2 linked regions of the Danio rerio genome follow. The protein of the gene in region 2 interacts with the protein of the main gene of each other region in a biochemical or structural test. Links are inferred from orthologs where the notes say so. Each region holds a gene or a part of one and is shown on either strand. Other genes may lie near its edges.

Region 1 (4,160 bases), on a different chromosome or scaffold from region 2:
GGCCCTTTGTCTCTTACATCAGCATGGGTGCAGAGTTAGTGTTTTATGGGGAGTGACTCTGTTAAGATTATCAGTCGAGGAAATCGGGAGAGGATTAGGGCAGGAAGGGAATCGTGGGTAATACACTGCTATCAAAAACAAGCATGGTGAAGACCGAGATTCAGAAATGGCGGGGAAAGATTCAGAGGTGACTTCTCTCAACACATTGTACGGCTCAGGGGTGGGATTATAAAGCAATTAGCTGCAGTGGCGGTGATTAATACTGTGGCTAATAGGATGAGGCTGAAGATCGGATGGGGGAAGGAAGGTACCAAGCAGAAGAAACCTGGACGAAGACAAGCACAGTGCATCAATCACAGATGACAGCTGGGACAGGGTCCAGGAGCTCCATTCATCATGGGGAAGAGAGGGACACACACAGCTCAGCAAAGTAGCGGAGGAAGCATTAATTACTAGTTGCTTCAGACATCCCTGACAGCTCAGAATGTAAACTGAAGTCAGGTACTTGAATCAAGTTGAAGGCATTGAAAGATTTAAGTGATTTAAAACATTACAGAATGGCTGATTCAGACCTATAATGATCAGAGCATTTTAAGTTTTTTTTTTTTTTTTGTAACTTATGGCTATATCAAGCTATATGCTATGGCTTGTGGGCTTATATTTACTACTCAAAACCTCATCTCTTAATATACTGTAGTTCCTCAACATGCTGCCAAAGCAGAGCAAACTCACAGGGGCATGGTACTGTACATGTACCTGCCACCAAGATTTTAGCACATGCTTCAAGTCCTGTAGGTTGCTGTGTGGAATTGCCAACTTATTGGTCCAGCACATTCCACAGGTGGTCAATTTGGACTGATGTGGGGAATTTGGAGGCCTAGGCAACACCTAGTTTTCTCCACTGTGTACATCAACTATTCTTGAACAATGTATAGTGTGTGGCAGGGCAGGGTGCTTCATTCTATTTAAAGAGATCACTTGCACCAGGAAGTAGCACCACTGTACTGAAGAGGTGTACAGAACATGGTCTTCAACAATGTGTGGGTAGGTAGCATGTGTCAAATTACATCCACATGAATTGCCTGACCCAGTGACTCCCCATTGGGACTTTGCCTAGATCATTACTCTCAAGCCACTGGCTTGTTGTCATCCAACAATGCATCCTGATGCCATTACTTTTCCAGATAAACACCAATCATGTACACGAACATCCGCTTGGATTATTGGACCAGCTGACATTCCATTCCTCCAAGCTTCAGTTATGATGCTTGTCTACCTAATGAAGGCTTTTTTGATAGCTGATAGGGCCATTAAAGAGCACTTTTTAGTTTTTTTTTCCTATGTATTCCTGCCATAACCATTTTTCAAATTTTGCTCAAATTGTGCCACAGTAGAACTTTGACATTACCCTCTCCATTTTTAGGTAGAAATATGTTAACATTTACAGATACAAAATGTTTTGATTGATTCTGTTAGACTATATACAGTTTGCAAGTACTAATACATAAAAGGCAAACAACATAACTGTCTGAAATGTACAGAAAAATTAAGATTTCAATAAATATATAAACAATAAATATATATTTATATATAAATATATATATAACTACTTGTAAACCAAACCATACCTCTCGCTTTAAAATAATCATGAACAAAACAATTACTTAACAATCTTAATTTACTACATTAAAGTTGTTTTTAAACACTTTGTTTTCACAAGTTTTTCATTCAAACACTTGTTGCAATGCATTATAAATCCAGTGAAATCCAAAACGTATTTAATTTTTCAGCTTTTGTAAAACTTAAACTTGAAGCTTCAGTAACTGAATGCTACATGATAGTTTAGTGTAGTTGTTTTAAACTGTGTGTAATCATTTGGTCATTCAGAACAGAATCAAACAATCGTTCCATAAGACGTTTTATAAGTATATTTCATACGGTACTAGTTTTATTAGTCAAAACATTGAAAAGAATGTTTGAATAGAATATAATCTAAATATTTAATGTCAGTATTCATGAGGATTCATTTGTAAGTCTATAAAGTAATTGGCAAGCAAATGGACAAATTTATTAATAAATAATAAATGGTTTTAGATGTTGTCCATACATTATTATTTTTTATTTAAATGCTGTTCGTTTGTCAATACTGTATGTTTCATTTACTGTATGTCTGTGATAGATGTATGATAAATGTAGACTAATGCACATTGGGTGAAACCACACTTACAAATACATTCAAATACTAAATTAAGTTAAATAAAAGTTGAGTTAAATTGTGATGCCCAAGCAAAACTACAACTTGTTTGTGATCAACTAATAGTATAAGAAATGCATTACTGTATAGTAACAATTTATTGTGATTTAAAGCAAACAAAATCATTTTAATGTCAGCTAGATATGCATTGCTCATTCATCTCCATTACAAGAGCTATACAAGTCTACAACATCAAGCATTACATATCCCTCTAGATAAAATTGTACCATAAATACAAGAGAGTGAAAGATTTACCAAGCTATGTGCTATCTGTTCTGTGATTGATGGACTGATGGTATCATTTGAAATACTATAGAGTGAGTTCAAGCTATAGCTTTATCTTAAATTCCAAGAAATAGTGTTTCTTTATATGGTTTCCATAAAACCTGTAATACAGCTGCCCTGTGTATCTTTAAGGTTGTAGTGTGGGATGAACAACGTTATACTAATGCTGATAAGATTCTTGAGAACAAAAAGCACAGTACCTACAAAAAAAGCACAGCCGTCTCTTCCCTTTCTTCTCCGGTTTTTCCTTTGTGCTCTCTGGAAGGAAAGGAGAAAAGATCACATTAGCACAACACTGGCTCAGAGATGGCCATCTGCAACACACATTATCATCTCAGCCTCAGGGCAGAGCAGAAAGTCTTCAGGGTGTCCAGCAATAGACCCTAAGCATGATGCCTTTTTCTTTAAAGTGTATAGATTTATATAAAACAGAAAAAGAAATAACCAGGTTGCAAAGCAGGCCAAGGCACAGCTATGAGCCTAGAGATTTATCAAAATATCAAAATTCAAGTAGACTTTTGACATTCATCTCAGTTGCAGAGTATAAGTGTATGCAATGATCCACATTCAGTGACATAAGGTAAAACAATTCCCAATAGAACTGAGGATCACACACTTTACTCTGAATATTCAATTAAAGATGTTTTGAATAACAGCTTTAAAGTAGCCTGAAGGCAGAGCTGTACAGTGTGTCGGTCTGATGTTCATTAATTAGCGCAGCTCTAAATAAAACAGACTGCTCATTGTAGAGTTGAATTACAATATCTGAATGTCCACATGAAGACCTGTGACGATGAAGTCACCTTAAATTAAATATGAAAGAGAAGTAGGTTTGAGCTCGGGAGAGTTAATGGCAATCTAATATTCTGTTAATTATAAAGTGCAGTCTTGTGTTCCAAAATTGAAATCATTTAAGCTATGTAAAAGAAAAGCTTTGTTAAAAAACCAACCTTTTGCACATGGCACAGACTCGCTGATTTTAATCAAAAGTTTGAAGTTATATAAATCAATAATAATTATCATATTTATATGATACATTTCAGAAACTAAACCACATATTCAACATTTAATAAACACAGCAATACCTATCAGATTTTATCCTGAAGTTTCAATTTCTATAACTCTTTAAATTATAAGTATATAACTATATATATAGCCACTATATATTAAATATGCTCTCTAATATGTGTGTGTGTTCACTGTTGTAGTTTTTTAAATATGACAGTTTAAAAACAGTTTGAACTGTATGTGCAAAAATGGGGCATTTCTTACACAATTTATGCAATAATTGCATAATTTACATGACTGCAGTGTTTGCAGCTTATTAAATCTTTGCTTTCCATTCTCTGTCACACACACACACACTCTACATTCACTCCCTCCATATTTCCCCTTCTCTCTTTCCCTAATACGATTACATTTTATTTGCCCCCAGTTGCAGTTGATGCCACTCTTCATTATTTAACCTCCAGAAAGCATTTCCAGACTCAAGTGATAAACACACAGACACTAATTCTAGACAATTTACCCCCATTTAGTATGATTTATTATACACCGCTGACCACCTACTGGAGTATTCAATTAATAAAGCAGAGCCGCACGCTTGCCAAGTCTATCAATG
Region 2 (3,500 bases):
TCATTGTGCTGGACTGTGAAGCTCAGGGATGTCAGACAGTGAGCCTGTGAATTAATAGATAATGACAGCTTGAGTTTTGTCTCACCAATCAGGCTCACGCAGGGGGAGGGGATCCCTGCTGATGTACTATTGAAAAGCCTAAAGCGTTTGCCATTGACAGAAAAAAAAAGAATACCAGCACTGGTCGCAATGCAAATGCTATGACCACAGAAAAGCAACAAAACAGGATAAAAGATTATTTCTACACCAATGCACTTGCATTGATAGTCAATACTGCATTAAGAGGCATTGCTTGTTAGCACTGCATTGTGAATTGGGAGTTTGTGAGGATCTATTCAGACTAAAACCTTTAATCTACTATCTATGCTAATATTCTCATCATGCCAATACAAAGAAAGCAGAAGTAGCATTACTTTAGAGCAACAGCAAAATCACTATACAGGCTATAGACACTAAGAAAAAGTCGCAACTGGTTTATCAAATGAAAAACAGAATTTAGATGGAATTAAAAAGTTCTATTAGACAAGAGTAGCAGAGGAGAACAAGGCAAGCATGATCTTGATTTAAAGACCATAACATGGCTATGCTATGCTAATCCTATTTCTCCTATATCCTATATTTTTGTAGCTTACTAAAATTATTTTATTCACGTCTTTGCACTGACTTAACATGTAAACCGCTTACGCTTGATGCTTCATCAGCGTCTGGTGTGAACGCAGCATAAGTGGTTTAAAAAAATTGTACCTTAAAATTAAGTATGACCAAATATATAATATTAGGTATAATATGAACTCACAAGAACTCACAAGTGACCTATTCTGAAATTATTACTGTGTGACTTATGAACATATGACAACTCCAGCATGCTAAGTTCATTCCTGCTGTCTTATCATTTGACAACATGATTACCAAATTCAGCCCTAAAATCCCACCTGAATTCTTGTCCGGCAGGCGACCAATCCTCCATACTACAGACTTAAAGGCCTGTTCGTATTTGGCTGTGCCGAGTGTGACCCTCATGGCTGGTTCAGACCCTGATGTGCTAGTCGAACCAAAGCTGGCTCCTTTGTTGAATCGAGCCTTCAGAGACTTCTCTCCCGTCACACTCTCGCGCCTAAAGTTCTTTGCCCAAATTTCTGGTATGGGGTAACGAATTGCAACATTCTCACATGGTGTTAACGTTAAAGGATCCCTATTGGATGAGAACCCGGTTGACATTATCAGCCAGGACTGCATCTCCACTTCTGCACCCCTGACACAAGCAACAGTTCTCAGAGTGAAGGGAAGGGTTTTTTCGGCAAACGGAGTGCGGAAACGAAGCAGTTCAAATCGGCGGCCAACCGGTGGGCTGAACGTAATGGCTCGGGACTCGTTAAACTCTAGCTGGTCTGCACACTCATGCAATCGACAGTCCCGCAGTTGAATCCAACGTGAGGTTGTGTTAGGAATTATGTCATGCCGAGAAACCACCTCTTTACCTTTGATCTGGATATCATTGAGGCCGATACTACAAGGTGGGGATCCATTCAAGAAGGCTAGCATGTTCACTCGGGTAAAAACCAGCTGCTCCAAGATCCGGCTGTCTCCTTTGGAGAGAATCCCATAAAAGTCATCCCTCACCTCCACATGGACCTCCTCTTCAGTGTAAGTCGTTGGCCAGTTGAGACCTTCTTGGTCCATCGAGAGGCCCACAAGTCTCTCCTGTAGAGCGTGACGAAAGCTTAAGAAGTCCTGGTAGTTTGTAGTCCCAAGTTTCACCACTTGCTCTTTGACAGGCAAATGAACCACTGTGACCTTGGGCTGGATCTTCCTCTTTTCCTTGTAAACCACATGGTCTACACTGATGGTGTGAACCCGGCCATTTTCATCGTAGTTTTGAAGCTTGGGCTCTGATATTTCATGCTGGGAGTTCAGCTGGAACTCTTTAAAGGGCTTCTCCAGCCCTTTCTCATAGAAAAGTTGCAGCTGGCCGCTGTTCGTCAACCTGACAAATATTGGTCCCCAGTGACGTGAGGACATGATGTTCTTCTTCTCAGGAATACGCAGGAGCATCGGCCAGCCTTCCTGAGGTGTCATGTGGTGTGGTTCATAAGTGGAATCAGTGGAGTCCGCTTCATCCACTGAATCAGGTAAAGGAGGACTATCATCACGGTCAGGGTCAGAGATGTGTATATTCCTGAGCTGATTCAGACCATCTACAGGAAAGCTTGACTGGACACTATCTTTTTCAATTGCAGAGTCTTTCTGAGGTGGAAAAAGCAAAATAGATTCCCTTTTGATATCAGCATTTTGATATCCAAAGAAAGGTGAGCTGAAAGCAGACACATCCGATGCCTCTGAACACAAGCCAATGCCTTGGGAAGTTTTCAAGTCTGTTTCGTCAAAATAGGCACTGAAGGGGTTAATAGGAGAGGGCTTTAGGTTGGAGAAGTCATCATCTAAGAAAGGGTTCTTCTTGTTGTAAGGGACGCTGTTTTTTGATAATGTGTTATCAAACGCAAAGATTGAATTGTTGCCATCAGGGGTCAAGTCCAGGATGTGTCTCTCTGGCATCTGGCCACAAAATAAAGAGGGAATCAGGTTGCTGTTGGCATCCTGCAGAGGAGAATTGTTGAGGTTATGCAGTTTTATATTAGACGGCCTCCCCGGAGGCTGTAACACAGAGTCCTCATCCTCATCAAAAGTAACCCAGCTGGCAAAGCGGTTGGAGGTGACATAAGCTTGGCCATTGGTGTGTTGGTTATTTGCTGTCCAGTTGAATGAATCCATGTTCATTCCTTCATCGTCTTGGCACAAAGAAGAATCTGTCAATGAAAAAAGAAGACAAAGAAGCCACTTTAATATAAAATTTGACCACTGATATTATAATTAGCTGAATAACTTTCTCAAAGGAATAACCAGGAAGGGAGGAAGGGACATGTCATACATATGAGGCAGACTTAATCTTATAAACAAGAAAACGGATGACCTCCTCTGTCATTCCAGAGTACTTTGAGTTTATTTTTGAAACCTAATGAGAGTCACAATGGTTGGACTATTTTTGTCCATTTTCTGAAAGACATTTCCACTACAAGAAGAAGGCAGATTCTAATCAACTATGATTTATAGACAAATGCATAAATGTAAAATTTCCACTTGCCACAGATGCATTTAAAAGAGGATTATTGTGTGATTGAATACATAAGAAAATATTTTTCAGAATTAAAGTTTTTGCATTATGAAAAAAGGATAGCTAAATAATCAACTTTTTAGTCATTTTAGACACAGAAGACTGTTGATATGTAAGAACTTTAATTATTTAGTAAAATTTCTCACTATCTACTAGGACTTGTATATGGCAAAAATATGATCTCTATAATTATTTTCCATATAAAACGATTAACAATATATATACATACATACATACACACACACATACACACACACACACATACATACATACATACATACATACATACATACATACATACATACATACATACATACATATGTATATATTT

Evidence for each region. The genes of interacting proteins can lie anywhere in the genome.
Region 1: the proteins of ston2 (region 2) and syt1a form a complex in vitro, tested with the Homo sapiens proteins (2 studies listed by BioGRID). The link is inferred for Danio rerio from reciprocal best matches to the Homo sapiens genes STON2 and SYT1.

The regions. Positions count from the first base shown.
Region 1 is NC_133179.1:21,724,246-21,728,405, reverse strand, and holds the start of syt1a (synaptotagmin-1a), read right to left. Parts: upstream 2,801-4,160; 5' UTR 2,740-2,800; intron 1-2,739. UniProt on the Homo sapiens protein: Calcium sensor that participates in triggering neurotransmitter release at the synapse. May have a regulatory role in the membrane interactions during trafficking of synaptic vesicles at the active zone of the synapse.
Region 2 is NC_133192.1:18,053,660-18,057,159, reverse strand, and holds part of ston2 (stonin-2), read right to left. Parts: intron 2,805-3,500; coding exon of another isoform or gene 2,776-2,804; coding exon 933-2,775; intron 1-932. UniProt on the Homo sapiens protein: Adapter protein involved in endocytic machinery. Involved in the synaptic vesicle recycling. May facilitate clathrin-coated vesicle uncoating.